4 linked regions of the Saccharomyces cerevisiae S288C genome follow. The gene in region 3 interacts genetically with the main gene of each other region. Each region holds a gene or a part of one and is shown on either strand. Other genes may lie near its edges. The genes, in order: WTM1, CLB1, NEJ1 and YLL006W-A.

Region 1 (4,715 bases), on a different chromosome or scaffold from region 3:
CGACAACGACGACGACGACGAAGAAGGTAACGGCAAGACGAAGTCTGCAGCCACCCCAAATCCAGAGTATGGTGATGCTTTCCAAGATGTTGAGGGGAAACCATTGCGCCCAAAGTGGATTTACCAGGGCGAAACAGTGGCAAAAATGCAATACTTGGAAAGCTCAGACGACAGTACGGCGATCGCGATGTCCAAGAACGGCTCTTTGGCATGGTTCAGAGATGAGATCAAGGTTCCCGTTCATATCGTACAGGAAATGATGGGCCCTGCTACTAGATACTCTAGTATTCACTCTCTAACCAGACCAGGTTCATTAGCAGTGTCAGATTTTGATGTGTCGACAAATATGGATACGGTAGTAAAGTCACAAAGTAACGGCTACGAGGAGGACAGCATCTTGAAAATCATCGACAACTCCGATAGACCGGGAGATATATTACGTACAGTGCACGTTCCAGGGACCAACGTGGCTCACTCAGTTAGATTTTTTAACAACCATTTATTTGCATCTTGTTCAGATGACAACATTTTAAGATTCTGGGACACAAGAACAGCGGACAAACCGCTTTGGACGCTAAGCGAACCGAAAAATGGACGACTAACGTCCTTCGATTCCTCTCAAGTTACTGAAAACCTATTTGTCACTGGGTTCAGCACGGGTGTCATCAAGCTATGGGATGCGCGTGCTGTGCAACTGGCTACTACTGACCTCACACATAGGCAGAACGGCGAGGAACCGATCCAAAACGAAATAGCCAAGTTGTTCCATTCTGGCGGCGATTCCGTTGTCGATATCCTGTTCTCACAAACCTCTGCAACAGAATTTGTTACGGTTGGAGGAACGGGTAATGTCTACCACTGGGACATGGAGTACTCTTTTTCAAGAAACGACGATGACAACGAAGACGAAGTTCGAGTGGCTGCTCCGGAGGAACTTCAGGGTCAATGTTTAAAATTTTTCCACACAGGTGGCACAAGAAGATCGAGCAACCAATTCGGGAAGAGGAACACTGTGGCGCTACACCCCGTAATCAATGATTTTGTTGGCACTGTTGATTCAGATAGTCTTGTTACTGCCTACAAACCATTTCTGGCCAGTGACTTCATTGGCAGAGGTTACGACGATTAAAAAAAAAAAAGAGTAAGAAATTAACGTTACCACCTATGGGAAAGGCAGTAACTCACAAGCATTCACGTACATAATTCTGTTTTTTTTTTTTTTATTCATTTCTAGCACGCTATCGGGGTTATTTTTTTTTTTGTAATATATAGTGATGGTATAATGTTGTATAGATACTGGTATCGCTCCTAATAAAGACTCTTTCAGATTTCTGAAGCCAACGAAGTAAGGCCTCAAGAAAAGAGGGTTACCAGTAATTAACCAAGCAATTTCTTTTTTTTCTTTCCAGCAAAGAAATAAGACAAAAACCGGCTATATGGAGAAGAGGGAGGATCTAATGGTGACATAGTCCATTTCAAGATTCCCTCTTTCGTTTCTCGGATGAAGCTCGATGTTTACAATTCAGAATCTTAAAAGGCTGTCGCTAAGAAAGACCCAGAGGCACATGCAAGATAGTTGTGCCTGTACCACGTGAGAAGGCGGTATTCAATATGCGGTGCTGTGCTGGCTTCCCTTTTTGGAACGCGCCGGGGTATAACAAAGAAAGGCTAAGTCATACAATAGGCAAAAGACCTTTGTCTTTCCTTTTTTTCCTCTTTCCTAACATACGGTGGTTTATGTACTATCCCTTATGTAATTGCTTAGCTATACACAGTGAGCACACATAGTGGCGCTCACTACTCCCTTTTAATTTCAACTCGTAGATAGTTGGGCTATTTTCCTTCGAATCCTCGTTTATCATCTCATATTTAAGAGTACCATTTCGGGGCTTTTTTTTACCTTTTCCTTTTCCATGCAGTCTGTCCCCTTAATGTTCTATGTTTTTTTTTTTTTTTTTTCAGTTCTGTAGCTTCCAGTATAAAGGGAGGGAAAAAAGAAGATCCGAAAAGTTTATATTCGCCTGAATTGTAGATATTAGATAAGAAAATTAATTATTAATCAACCAATCTTGAAAGATACAAATAAATTGTAACACACTATACATTACAACCAAAAATGCCAAAAAAGGTTTGGAAATCATCTACGCCTTCCACTTATGAACATATCTCCAGCTTAAGACCAAAATTTGTGTCTCGTGTGGACAATGTTCTGCACCAAAGGAAGTCCTTGACGTTCAGCAACGTTGTTGTTCCAGATAAAAAAAATAACACTCTAACCTCAAGTGTTATATACTCTCAAGGTAGTGATATCTACGAAATTGACTTCGCTGTACCACTACAAGAAGCCGCTTCAGAACCGGTGAAAGACTATGGTGACGCCTTTGAAGGTATTGAAAACACCTCGTTGAGCCCAAAATTCGTGTACCAGGGTGAAACTGTCTCCAAAATGGCCTACTTAGATAAGACTGGAGAAACTACATTATTGTCGATGTCTAAGAACGGGTCGTTGGCTTGGTTCAAAGAGGGTATAAAGGTCCCTATTCACATTGTACAGGAATTGATGGGTCCAGCAACCAGCTATGCCAGCATCCATTCTTTAACCAGACCTGGTGATCTACCTGAAAAGGATTTCTCATTAGCCATCTCTGACTTCGGCATTTCCAATGATACCGAAACCATTGTGAAGTCTCAGAGTAATGGTGATGAAGAAGACAGTATTTTGAAAATCATTGACAATGCCGGTAAGCCTGGTGAGATTCTACGTACTGTTCATGTGCCTGGTACCACTGTGACTCACACCGTAAGATTTTTCGACAATCATATCTTTGCGTCTTGTTCAGATGACAATATTCTGAGGTTCTGGGACACTAGAACTTCCGACAAGCCTATATGGGTGTTGGGAGAACCAAAGAACGGAAAATTGACCTCGTTTGATTGCTCTCAGGTTTCCAACAACTTGTTTGTTACCGGTTTCAGTACGGGTATTATCAAGTTATGGGATGCCAGAGCGGCTGAAGCTGCCACCACTGATTTGACTTATAGACAAAACGGTGAAGATCCAATTCAGAATGAAATCGCTAACTTCTATCATGCCGGCGGTGATTCTGTTGTCGACGTCCAATTTTCTGCCACTTCAAGCTCTGAATTCTTTACTGTGGGCGGCACTGGTAATATTTACCACTGGAACACTGACTATTCCTTGTCAAAGTACAATCCTGACGATACCATTGCTCCTCCTCAAGATGCCACTGAAGAATCACAAACAAAATCTCTGAGATTCTTGCACAAGGGTGGAAGCAGAAGATCTCCAAAACAGATTGGAAGAAGAAACACCGCCGCTTGGCATCCAGTTATTGAAAACTTGGTTGGTACTGTCGATGACGATAGTTTAGTCAGCATCTACAAGCCCTATACCGAGGAAAGCGAATAGTCGCCATGCTAAACGCGCGGAACAAGGCCATATTTATATATTTAATGCTTTTAACTATTATTAGTTTTTCTCACCCAGGGCTGGTTTCTTTACCCTGTGTGATGAAAGTGCGCGCCTAAAGTTATGTATGAGCTACTGTTAGTATATTTATTATTCAATATTTAATTAAACAATACTTACTACTGATGAAAGATACCGTACACCTGCTGGCGAATAAGTCACTATACACGAGCAATTATATTTCTCAGGTCATTGCGACAATTGAAAAATCGGATCGACTGATTATCATTAAGGCGTGTGACGGCTCAGAATAAGGAAGTTCTATTTTAAAGGGCAGCAAAAATTTGGCACAATTTAAAAAGAAAGTTGGTCTCTGGTAGGGTTGGATCCGGTTTTTCATAACTTGCGTTTCATTTATGGTTGCGTATTTCTCGCAGTGTACATAGACCAAATTAACTCTATCCTTCCATTGCACAATTTGCCCAGTATGGCTTCACTGTTCAGACCCCCAGAATCTGCGAAATGCAACCCAAACTCTCCTAGACTTAAACTGCCCCTCTTACGAAATAATCAGGTAGATGAAAATAATATATACTTGACGTCGAATGGGAGTTCCACCACAGCTTACAGTAGCCACACCCCAGAACCACTGACCTCTTCCACATCGACACTTTTCTCCCAAACTCGACTTCATCCTAGCGACTCTTCAATGACTTTAAATACAATGAAGAAGAGGCCTGCACCGCCATCTTTACCTTCGCTCAGCATAAATTCACAGTCTAAGTGCAAAACACTACCCGAACTCGTACCCATCGCCGATGTGTCTGATGGTAAACATGATTTAGGATTGAAACAGCGTGTGATAGCCGAAAATGAGTTGTCTGGTAATAGTGACTTAACCCCTTCATCGATGGCAAGCCCCTTTTCACATACAAACACCTCTTCTCCCTACCTCAGAAATGATCTGAGCAATTCAGTGGGATCTGACTTTTCAAATTTGATATCGGCATATGAACAAAGTTCAAGTCCCATCAAGTCATCGTCCCAGCCTAAATCATCTTCTGAATCGTACATAGACTTAAACAGTGTACGAGATGTTGATCAATTGGATGAAAATGGTTGGAAATATGCAAATTTAAAAGATAGGATCGAGACATTAGGCATTCTAGGAGAAGGAGCCGGTGGCTCTGTTTCCAAGTGTAAATTGAAAAATGGATCAAAAATATTCGCTTTAAAAGTGATAAACACATTAAATACAGATCCCGAGTATCAGAAGCAAATATTC
Region 2 (4,488 bases), on a different chromosome or scaffold from region 3:
CGAAGGAATTAGGAAGGCTGAGCTATTCGTTCTAAGTTCTTTAGGTTATAACATATCTCTACCAAACCCCCTAAATTTCATTAGGAGAATTTCAAAAGCTGACAATTACTGCATTGAAACAAGGAACATGGCCAAATTCATCATGGAATATTCGATTTGTTGTAATAAATTCATCCACCTGAAGCCATCATATTTAGCTGCAATGTCCATGTATATCGCCAGAAAAATTAAAAATGAAAATTCCAAATGGGATGAAACTTTTATTCATTATAGTGGCGGCATTGATATTGAATCAGATCCAGCGTTTAAGGATTTTATCAGTGAACTAGTTGAAGATATTGCTGTACCTGATACGAATCTAGATTCCTTGAGACTTAAATACAAAAAGCCTAAACATGGCATGGTTTATTTCAAGGTTTTTGACTGGTGTAAACAAAAACGTTGAAACATAGATCAAAATTATAGCCAGCTAACCCCCTGCATCTTAAATATCATCGATAGACATACTTCTTTATTTCTTTTATGTATTCAAAAAAAGAAAGAAAATGCATTATTCCTCACTTTAAAGATAATTTTCCAATTATGGGAGAAAAAATTTATAAATGAATTAATTATTACAGCCTACAAAACTGATACCGTGTGATAATATATATGAGATAACCGTTATATGAATAATGAATGCCTGATTTTTCTATAAAATAGATGATAAAGTAAGGAAGTGAGATTTTGGTTTTCTGTGTAGGCTAGCACCTTCACTCATGCAATGTCATAATATCATATCCATTTTTCCTTACCTTCAATGCCCATTCGATAGAAATTATGGAAGCCTTTAAAAATCTTCTCGATTGATATTTTTTCAAGAACTCGTCGTGAATAGTAGATCCAACAAGATAATCCATCAGTAATTGGCAAACGGGATATAGTTTTGCCTTTGTGTAACCACCACTATAATGGATTAAGTTGCCATCCCAGGTGCCCTTGCCCAGCATTTTTCTCGAAAGGAACATTGCCGCTGAGGCACATAATGACGGTAATATCCCGATGAACTTGAAGTCCACTATAGATATTTCCATTAGGAACTTCGCTAACGTCCTAGACTGGATATCATAGTCATCCGCTTTTGATATTCTCCTTAAGAAATTCATTGGGTTAGCGAAACTAATTTGAAAATCGAGTTTTTCCAATATAAATCTTTCACCCTCTTTAATATCTTCCACAGAGCATGCACCGTCTGTCTCGTACGCAAAATGTTTTATGCTAGGGGAGTATATTTCCTCATACTTAGATGCGATGAACAGGCATGATGTACCAACCAGTTGCAATCTATTTAACTGAACCACCTCTTCACAAAGAAATCTATCCATTATGTTTATGGCCAAATATAGAGTTTCCGGCAGAAGGCCAAACTTATTATGAATCTTGATTATCCAGTTCACCAAAATGTCTCTGTTTTGCTTAATATTTTTATGCTTATAGAGATTCGCCTTATTTGGCAATGTGATTATTTCCAAGTGATGCAAATAATCGAAGATATCATTAACCTCTTCGCTCACCATTAAGGGATCATCACAATCTTCTTCATCTAGGTCATCCCATTCGTACTCCTCCAGAACCTCTTCTTCTGTAGTCAATTCATGGAGTTTGAACTTTTTCTGGTCATCCTGCTCTACAAGAGTTGATATTGGCCTTTTTTTTTTGGAATCTTCTCTCATTATTTTTTTCTGCCATTCCATTTGAGTGGAAATAGACTTGTTCTCAGAGTATATCAACCGATTACAGCTCAAGGCAGTCGAATTCGTATGAAAAGAGTCATCATTTGAGCACTGCTGCTTTTCTTGCTCGGAATATCCATATTCAGGAATATTTTCCTTATTGTTTAGTACTTCTTGTTTCACCCCCTGTCTACTGTCATTAAAAGAGGAGGTGAAGTCATCGGCTCTCGAAACATCATCCTTTAAAGGAAAGAAGTTGTTCAATTTTGAGAAGTTCTTCATCCCAATTTTTCTGTTCATAGAAATCTCTTGCAGGATATTTGCATTATTTGTGACATTACCGAGAATGGTCCTTGGGACGTTTCTCTTTTGTAAGATATATTGACTTTCGTTTACCCCCTTCTCTTCATTACTATTAATGGTTCTACTATTCTCTACCAAAAGGGATCGTGACATTATGAGAAGATTAAAGCTTCCTTTGATGGTTGATATAACGGACGAAAATATTTTGGCTCTGTTCTTGTTGGTAGATCTTATTCTTAATTACGCTTTTGTGATCTAAACAGCTGCACCAGTTAGCAACTTTAATAGTTTTAAGAAACTATACCAAGAGCCACAAGTAAAACTGTCGCTGGAAAAACCGAAGACACTAAAATTGCAGCCTGCTCAAGTTTGGCCGAATGTAAAAAACACAATACAACCAAAATTGCCTAGAATAGATCACCCTAGTATCTTCTTCTTACACAGAAGTGCAATAACTTCTATTACTTAATATATATAACTACACGCCGTATTCATAAAAGAAGGATCAAACCCGTTTCTGCAGAGGAAGACGAATGAGGAAATCACAAACAAAACAAATTGGGCAGACCGTATGCGGAACGCAAATTGAAGTAATATGTTATGTACGTTCCGCACCTAACTTGCAGGATACCCATAAATGATGCTGTAAAAATGCAAGTTGAAAATGATTAATTAATACAACAAATTTAAAGTTACCGTTGACGTGAGTTTTATGGTGCTTCTATATTTTGTGTCCGCTTCTTGATTGTTGATGTTTTTCCTCTTTGGGCGGTTGTAAACAAAAGGTCGTGCCCGTTTTGTGAGAGCCCCTACTCGAAAACGGTAGTGAAAAACCGCCCAAATGATGCATCTAGTAAAGAAAACTAATTGAAGCGCGTCTGTGTGTGCCTGCTTCAAGAATGACACTGGGCATGCATAGCCTCGTTGAAAAGTCCACTTGCAATACGACGAAAGAGGAGCCAGTAGCACATAATTAATCGGAGGGAATCTCGATCGTGTCCTATTCAAATTTGGAAGAAACGCCTTTTTTAACAGAGCGGGCGGACTTTCAATAAAATTGGATGCAAAAAAAAAAAATGACTGAGTACAAGCGAAGCTTACTAAATAATTGGATAACACCATGAATGATATTATGGAGCAATTCGATAGTTCAAAAATTGACAAAGACAATGCTTTTACGCATCAATAAAAAATGCCGTAACTGTTGCAGTTTTCAGCGTTAGTTTCAATTTTAAGATTATTTTTACTATGAATAGAAGATAAATATTTTCATTTCCCCCCCAGTTGTTGTCATTATGAACATATAAAACATTCATTTACTCTTGTTTATTATCATTCATAGATCAAGAATATATGGTAAATAACGCAAGAAGCTCTTGGAACAATCGTAATGATAAAATAGAAAAGAACAATTGCGCTGTAAATTCTTACGTCCAAAACAATTGTAGTTTAATGCGGGTGAAAATACGTTAACATTAGGCTTGTTTCCAACGAGAACTGTGGCAAGGAAATGTAAACATTAGCATTGCAAAGTCTCTTGCCGAACCTATAGATTACCGATTGAACTTGGCTTGCTACGTATTTTCGAAGTAGTGGATATTTTCATCTTGATTGATTTCTGCTAAAATAACAATCAGTTATCTTCCGCATATTACTCATGCAACAAACTGAAGCTATTATTTACCTTACATCGAATTTTCAAGAAGCGATGATAAAAAATGGTGTGAAATTATATGACCTGAAGACCAGAATTAAACAATCATTGAACCTGACAGAAGCTGATGCACGAAAGTTGATACTTTAAAAAGTATTCTGCGTAAGAAAACCAAACTTAAATATTGCCTTCAAAATTAATTTGTATCAATTGCACGAACAGTTGATGGACTATTATGTCATGAAGAAGAACCGCTTCAATTGCCAATATACATAAAGCTAATAGCAATGATATAAATAGAATTTCGGAACCACCGTTAAGTCCTACTGGATTTTCTCGGTCTGAATAGAATGTTGGAACAGGTTGGTTGCCATTCCCTACATATGTAACTATGGTGATAATCTGAAACAATGAAACGGGATAGTAACGTTTGTTACGCGCTCCTTTGTAGTGCCGTCGCACTGTTTCAAAGTAAATAAACGATAAACGAGCCACTTGCGCAGTAAGTGTAACAGAAGTGGAAAATCTACTAGTGGAACGTTAACGTGGATTCAACCCGCTAAGATGGGATAAAGTTTAGGGGAACGGGTGCGAGAAATATATGAATCTTGGAACAGTTTTTGGGATTCATTGTTATCAAATGCCATATTAATGGGCATACGGAATGCATTAAAATTCCTCCTCGAGAATATAGAAATCCCCAAAAAGGAATCTGTAATTGTACATGAAAATTTTATAATTTTTATTTTTCCATTTTGTATGGTATCATTCATTATTCTATTAAAGAAATTCGTGAGTAATCTGATAATCATTGAGATT
Region 3 (4,531 bases):
CGCCTTTCCAACATGCACACAAAACCAACAGTGGCTTATTCGCCAGAGGGTACAACAATGACTCAGAAATCATGAAGAGGCATTAACAGCGGTCAGCAGTGGAGCAATAACAACAGGGTCATTACTTCTTTACTACTTGTACTTAGAATACATCACGACAAGGTGCAATGCGGCGCCTTTCCGCGTTGACAAACTCTTGAAAAGCCCATGACAGGTGGAAAACACGTGGTTGGTACGGGACGAATAAGAAAGAGGCAAACGGCACTTAGTTTGTTGGGATGGATGGATCCCATTTTCCTATGAAATCTACTACCGGAGAGCCCGTTTCAAGTGGTAAGAAGGGCAAGAGGAGGAAGGTCATCAAGTCATGTGCATTTTGTAGAAAAAGAAAACTGAAATGCAGTCAGGCCAGGCCTATGTGTCAGCAATGTGTAATTAGAAAACTACCGCAATGCGTTTACACAGAAGAGTTCAACTATCCCTTGTCTAATACGGAACTGTTCGAGCAAGTGCCCAATGTAGCGTTGGTTCAGAAGATTGAGAATTTGCAGACTCTACTGAAGGAAAACGATAACAATAATGCGAAACCGGTGTATTGCAGGAGTTCAGAAAATCCATTACGGTCACTGAGAACTTCGGTTTTAGGTGATAATGGCTCGAGGTATGTGTTTGGCCCCACTTCCTGGAAAACTTTATCTTTGTTTGAACAAAATAAGTTTCAAACTGAGTTTCAAAATTTATGGAAAGTCTTGAAACCACTTCCTGAATGCACTAAATCGCAATTAAATGAAAATGATGTTGTAGCAGATTTGCCTAGTTTTCCTCAAATGGAAAGCTGTATTAAATCTTTTTTTGCTGGACCGCTGTTCGGCATATTGCATATCTTCAACCAAGACGATATTCTGTCCCTCTTGGACAGACTTTTTATTAGAGATACCACGGACAAGAACCTAGTCATCCTCCTCGATTTGCAAGGTAATGCAAAAGATAAGTATAATCTTGGCATTGTACTTCAAATTCTTTGCTTGGGCTATTATAACCAAGATATCCCTTCTTCCGTGAGTCATTTCCTTCACACTTTAAGTGCAGCGTCCTTGTCATCATCGAGCTCAAATTTCGTGGAAAAACTACAATTTTTCTTATTGTCCTATATTAGTGTAATGATAAATTGCACGGACGGTGTATGGGATGCGACTCAAGGCGTTGACTTAATCAACGAGCTATGCCAGGGGTGCATAAGTTTGGGTTTAAATGATATTGATAAATGGTATTTGAACGAAAGTGAGGAAACCAAACAAAACTTGAGGTGTATTTGGTTTTGGGCTTTATTCCTTGATGTATCCACCTCATATGATATAGGTAATCCTCCGTCTATTTCAGATGATCTTTTGGACTTAAGTATATTTACTGCGCAGAATTTCCAATCACCGAGTATTGACTTTAGGAGAGTTAAGCTAATGCACGATTTTTTAGATGTTTCCCGATTCACTACTCGTGAAATTCACAAGAGAGAGATGAACGAAAAATTGACCACTTTTTCATTGAGATTGATTGAATTTATACAATCTAACTTTTCACCTATCGAACATTATACAAATTCAGTTTACTACTCTGATATTGATCCCTTTGATATATTGATTTTATCAAGATCTCTAAGTATAGTTGCTAGTATATACAATATTGAGATGATCATCGCTCAACAAAGCAGAATCATAGATAAGAACAGAATGGTTCAGTTCTTGTTGATATCCATATCAGTCTGTGTTAATACAATGGTATTTCATTTTAAAGAGCCTATCAACGACCAGGAGAACGTGTTAACTGAAGGGCTAAAACTGTCTATTATTCTAATCAATCCACTTTTAATACGAATAGTATCGCAAGTGTACAGTTTAGCATTTAATAGGTTAATCTTCAGGGAGAAGGCATTCCTTTTCCTTATTGACCTTGACACTGGGAAAAAAATACAATTCATTAAATATGAAGAAGAAAACTTTGATGAACTTTTGACAGGATTCGATGTTAGGACTGATAAATTTCTGTCATTTTCAGGAACAATAATAAGATTTTACGAAATTATTGATAGCATATTTGCTGTTAATGAAAGAAATAAGCGATTGTTAAAAGCAGTTTCCAATTTTTATCAGTTAACTTCAACTTTGGCGTTTGAACGCGTAAGTAGGGTTTTATTCGATAAAGCGTCCCAAGCAAGAATAGAGACTGAAAAAATTTGGCTGAAAAAGGGCATTAATATGGAGCACTTCAGTGATCTCATGATTGAAGATTTTATTAATGATGTTTGGAAAACGTTCAAAGAGATTTCCAAAGACCTTTGGTCCATTGACAAAAAGAAATTTTATAAACAATATCATTTCGATTTATAAATGTATTTATGATTGATGTATTTTTTTACATGGATTTTTTCGTCCCAAAAAGGGATGATAGTGTTGGCAGCGGGCAAACACAAAATAGTGTCATATAAGTGGAAACCCTATGGAGAATAACCATAACAACGGCCAGATAGGAGGTTAATCTTACACATGTGTGATGGATTCTGAGTTGAAAGGGCAGCAGCTAAGTGATGCAGAATGGTGTGTTAAAAAAATTAATGGTGAGGGAAATTGTCTCCTATTATTTCTACCGATGTCATCTCCAACCACAATTGTAATGATTGTTTTAGTTTCCTTGGAGCGCTTAGTTCCCTACGTTTTCAAACTTTCACAAACTCAATTATCACAGCAATGCCAGAGCCAAGGTTTTACGGATAGTATATCATTAAATCTAATTAAACTAAAACTAATGGACATTCTACAAGCTCCTCAAGAAATTAACCAAATTGGATTGGTAGATTCAAATTTGGTTTTTAGTTTCGATGTATCTGCGGATATTACAGTTTCCATAAATAGCGTACCTTCACATGTTACTAAGGATATGTTCTATATGATTTTGCAAAGTTTATGCATGCTTTTATTAAAATTGGTAAACCTTTCCACCCAATACCACTATGTACAACGGGATATTTTGAATGAAAAGCAAAAATGCTTAGATTTTCTTTTAATTTCTCTTCGTGATTTAGACGGTGGGAGTAAAGTTATCAGTCAATGGGCTCCTGAAAATTCTAAGAATTATGAATCTCTGCAGCAATGCACAGACGATGACATAATCAAAAAATTACTACATAAAGGAAAATTCCAGCATCAAGAATTTCTGGCGGACTCATTAAAAACATTATTATCTTTAAGAAACAAATTTCAAGATGTGTCGCGGTTTGAAGAATCTGGAGAACTTAACAAAAAAGAGCGCGTCAGATTTCCTGCGGTGAATCATTTTTATAATGATGATTTTGAATTGCAAGCAGACCCTACAAATGAGGCTCGACCAAATAGCCGCGGTAAAATTAAACCAAAGACAGATTTCAAGCCAAAATCTAGAGAAAGTAGTACCAGTTCGCAACTTCGCCTGGAGAATTTTTCTGAATCTGAGGCTACACCAGAAAAAACAAAATCAAGTTCTTCTTTGGTCGAAGAATACCCACAGAAAAAAAGAAAATTTGGAAAGGTGAGAATAAAAAACTAAGGCAAGTCAATTAAACGTCAAAAATTAAGGTTGGACCTTTCAAATAGTTCTATTCCTTTGTTGACGCATTGATAATGTTAATTTATTGAATGGTAACGTTATGCCATTGATAGGGAGCATATAAGTTTATATGTATTAGGACAGTTCTAATTGTTTATTATTAATCTAACGGTAGTTTCAAGCAGTATCTTACATCACTGCAGCTTCTGAGTGTCTAAATGATAAACTGCATAAAAAATAGCCGCGCAAGCTCGCCATCACTGTAAATGAAATTTAGACGCAAAACATAACCGCGGATGTAAACTTACTTAATAAGAGCGATTGGCAAAAGAGCCACAAAAAAAAATTGGATCAATATCTGGTGCATGGGTCTAAAAAAATTAAGCAAAACCACAACACCACGCGTTATGACAGCAGTTTTAGAGACTGTTTCTTTCTCTTCTATTGTATGAAGTAATCAGATTATTATATTGAGTAAGTACATGAATGTAATATTTAAATTGTATTTAACGATAGATGCACCAAAAAAAAAGAAAGTTACAGTAAGAGACTTCTTGTCGATTCGTTATTCCATGCCATACAGGTTAGCCTCAAATTAATTAATTCTTAAAATTCAGTAAACATTCTGGAATCCAAAAAAGTAACAAGTTCGTCGAATATCTCATCAATTATAGTGAGTTGTACACTCAACCCACCTCCAAAAAACCACAAAAATTAAGTGACTTCAATCATTTAATTCATTTTTTGAAAAATTGACATCATTGAGTATTTCTACGCATTTGTTCTCTGTTTTTGGCAACCGAAAATCCCTTGTAAAGAATCCATTAAAATTAATAAAGGAGATGTATGAATTCACCGAATGGAAAAACCGACCAAAGCACAAACACCTACTGTCTTCTATCCCTCCTTTCGATTGTTTAGATGAGCTTACCAACGTTTATATTATTTGCAATCG
Region 4 (3,237 bases), 540 kb from region 3:
CCAAAGTATTAGGTGCTTTATCAAGGAACAAGAAAGTCACTAACAGCAAAAAGAGAAAGCGTGAAGAAGCTAAGGCAGATGGCAATGGTGCACGTTCTTATAGAAAAACCAAAACCGACCGTATTGCAGATCAAGAAAGAACTTTTAAAAAGCAGAAGAGTACAAATTCAAATAAGAAGAAGGGCTTCAAAAGCCGTAGGTAATAATTTTCATCGTCATTATCATAAAATATCAACATACTTATCACTGTCATTATATTATTAATACTTTGTATTTAAATATCATTAATTCATCTAATAAACAGGGGATTAGTCAAAAATTCCTTTTTTTTTGTTGAATCTGTAGAAGTGAGTATTAATAAACTGCAAGCTATATGCTATATTAAAAGGATTTTTCAAGTACAAACGAACTGAATGGAGACTCAAGCTACTTGCGGGAAAGAATTACAAAATTACATTCCATTCTAGTAAAAAAAAGTTATAAATAAAAAAAAATCGTCTGACGACAAATTTGTATCTTAATCAAAATAAAAATTTTGGGTTACTTTCTTTAACGTTTCCAAGTTATAAAATTCTTCATCTTCGTCCTCGTCGCTTGGTTCAGGTGGAGGCACTATGATGTCCTGACGAACGTTCAAATTTATCATCTGAACATTTTTCCTCAAATCAAATAAAGTGTCTATTTGTTCTTTCGTGTCTTCTGATATATCTTCATGCTGGAATGGAGATATCAATTTCAATCCGTCTAGCCATATATATCTTCCCTCTTCTGTGTCTAAATAAAATTTCAAAACTGTCCTGTCGTTACGATCTTTTAATTCAACTCCAGTGTACACATTGGCTTCATCTAATTTGATGTAAACATTACTGCTCGTCCGACGACTCGGTGTAGTAAGTTCTATGCTTTTGAAAGAGGTTATATGTTTCAAAACAACAACTTTTGTTCTGCCATTAGCTAATGCCTCAGAACCTGGACTTGTTAAAATTTTATTGTCGAATAGATAAGGTAAATCGTTTGTTTGTGTTTCGAATTCTCTGGCTAATAAATTTGCGTGGTTATCTGAAACTATGAGGAAGTAGACTTTAGGCGTGCCAGCTTCAGGATTCAGTGGGTTCTCTGCGTAAACCCACGTTCCCTTTTGCAATTGAAGAAGTCTTTGATGACGAACGTAATCACGAACCTGGCCTGATAGCATGGTATCGAAGCTAGCGATACTAGATGACCAGGTTCGATACTGTTCTTTTTTGATTGAGTCTAATTGTAATGTTCTTGCAAATTTATATCTCATAGAGTCAAGTGCAACAACTTGGGTCTTGAGAAGGGATTTCGTCTGTATTGCTGCTTCCAAATCACTGGATGACAAACAAACATATTTTAAAGTGATAATAGCTAAATTTAACAGTGAAACCAAATCACTTTGCGATTTTGCTAATGATTCTATCCAAAATCTCAAAAACAACTCGAGTGTTTTGTAAAAACATGTTTGTCGATTGAGAACAGCGGTAGCAATTTGTAATTTTAAATCACGCTCTGAGTCTGAGTATTGGTTCTCTTTTTTCCCACTTAGATTGAAAAGTCTTCTAAATTGGTCTGAAAGTTTAAATATTGCTTCATAAAGAGGGAAATCGTTCTCGCCAAACAACAATTGTTCAGTGTAAAGTCTCTTGAAAGACCCATTAGGACTGTTTAAGAATGTGAATGTATCATACGCATTTAATAAATTTATACTGGGAAGATCGCCCATTTCCATTTCTAACCCTTTTTGGAATACGGAGTTATCTTTGATGGCTGTAAGAAGATCAGCTTTAAGCGAACAGGAATAATCATCAATACTAACCGAAGATAGAAAATTTATTAGCCTCTGCTTTAACGGTACAAATTCTTCAAGGATTAGTGGTTGCAAGTCTTCTATGTAAAGTAATTCAGACATGGAAGCTGGAAAGTTATACTGAAATAGCAAAATGAGGATTCTGGGTACAAATTCTACGGCGTGTGATAGTGATGTCTCACATAATGTAAGTGAGCATTTTAAAAATAGGGTTATGCATAGTATAGTGTCCGTAAACAACGGTATATGAATAGGTCTTTGGGACAAAAGTTGTAAAAGTATTCCAATGAGCTGAGAGTTCTCTCTGGAGATGTGGCAGATGCTCACAATAACTTCATTCTTATTAGAATCTTGGCATTTAAGGGCTACATTAAAAATCCTAATGAGATTTGCTACCAACGTTTCTGACCTTAGCTTTTGGCAATTATCACACAATATAGCCCAAAATCGGGAATCTGGAATTACGGTTTTACATAGGTATTTTTCATCACAAAGGAGGATATAGTTTGCCAATAACTTTTCGTATTCATCACTTGTCTTGTTCAAATTTTTATTACTGATCAGCGTATGATAGCAAGCTTTTGATTGTGCACTCGTAAGTGACTTGACTGGCTTTCCTAATTTAGGATTCAGTAGCACTTTTATGTTTTCCAAGCTTTCATCTGGCATCTGCCTGTTATGCTTCATTGCTTATGCCGTTATTTGAGGTTACTTTAATCTATTTTCCTACTGATGACACAATTGAGTCAATCCAACGTGGAACGGGTTGCCCTTGTATACATTTCAGTTTACTTCTTTTCATGTATTTCCTTAATAGTTTATTTTTTCACTTTCTGCCTATCCGTTTCAATTCCGAAGAACCGTCAACATCCAATAAAGATCATCTACAACAATAAGTGCCCCTCATAATTTTCTCAATGAGATGAAAGAACTTTGAGAGAGTCAATATAATACCTGTAGCCTTTTTCTGAAAATGACTGATAGTGAGAATGAATCCACCGAAACGGATTCGTTAATGACGTTTGACGATTATATAAGCAAAGAGCTACCTGAACATTTACAGAGACTAATCATGGAGAATTTGAAGGGTTCTACTACTAATGACTTAAAGCAAACTTCAAACAACTCAGAGTTTAATGTCAGTAAAAACGGGAGCTTCAAAGGTCTCGATGATGCAATTCAAGCTTTGCAAATGCAAAGCGTGTTGCATCCTTCTTCGTTAGGATCGTTAGCAACGTCCTCCAAATTTTCTGGATGGTCGTTTGCTCAAGGGTTTTTTGTAGGACAGCTAAGCATAGTGTTGTTGTTCATCTTTTTCCTAAAGTTCTTTATATTCAGTGATGAGCCATCTAAAAGTAAGAATCCGAAACCTGCAGCCTCCCGTCACAGATCAAAATTTAAAGAATATC

Evidence for each region.
Region 1: mutations in NEJ1 (region 3) and WTM1 together harm fitness more than expected from each alone (negative genetic interaction), as found in Saccharomyces cerevisiae (one large-scale study listed by BioGRID).
Region 2: mutations in NEJ1 (region 3) and CLB1 together harm fitness more than expected from each alone (negative genetic interaction), as found in Saccharomyces cerevisiae (one large-scale study listed by BioGRID).
Region 4: mutations in NEJ1 (region 3) and YLL006W-A together harm fitness more than expected from each alone (negative genetic interaction), as found in Saccharomyces cerevisiae (one large-scale study listed by BioGRID).

The regions. Positions count from the first base shown.
Region 1 is NC_001147.6:768,684-773,398, forward strand, and holds WTM1 (transcriptional modulator), read left to right. Parts: upstream 1-2,116; coding exon 2,117-3,430; downstream 3,431-4,715. Other genes in the region: WTM2 (transcriptional modulator), read left to right, coding at 1-1,129; mitogen-activated protein kinase kinase MKK1, read left to right, coding at 3,918-4,715. UniProt on the Saccharomyces cerevisiae protein: Transcriptional modulator with roles in meiotic regulation and silencing.
Region 2 is NC_001139.9:701,316-705,803, reverse strand, and holds CLB1 (B-type cyclin CLB1), read right to left. Parts: upstream 2,169-4,488; coding exon 753-2,168; downstream 1-752. Other genes in the region: B-type cyclin CLB6, read left to right, coding at 1-445. UniProt on the Saccharomyces cerevisiae protein: Essential for the control of the cell cycle at the G2/M (mitosis) transition. Interacts with the CDC2 protein kinase to form MPF. G2/M cyclins accumulate steadily during G2 and are abruptly destroyed at mitosis.
Region 3 is NC_001144.5:673,472-678,002, reverse strand, and holds NEJ1 (Nej1p), read left to right. Parts: upstream 1-2,547; coding exon 2,548-3,576; downstream 3,577-4,531. Other genes in the region: PDR8 (Pdr8p), read left to right, coding at 279-2,384; YLR264C-A (uncharacterized protein), read left to right, coding at 4,059-4,175. UniProt on the Saccharomyces cerevisiae protein: Involved in non-homologous end joining (NHEJ). Facilitates the transport of LIF1 into the nucleus, where it can interact with DNA ligase DNL4 to repair double-strand breaks (DSB). Mediates mating-type regulation of NHEJ.
Region 4 is NC_001144.5:133,785-137,021, forward strand, and holds YLL006W-A (uncharacterized protein), read left to right. Parts: upstream 1-2,560; coding exon 2,561-2,737; downstream 2,738-3,237. Other genes in the region: DRS1 (putative ATP-dependent RNA helicase), read left to right, coding at 1-203; LMO1 (Lmo1p), read right to left, coding at 518-2,515; ERMES complex subunit MMM1, read left to right, coding at 2,802-3,237.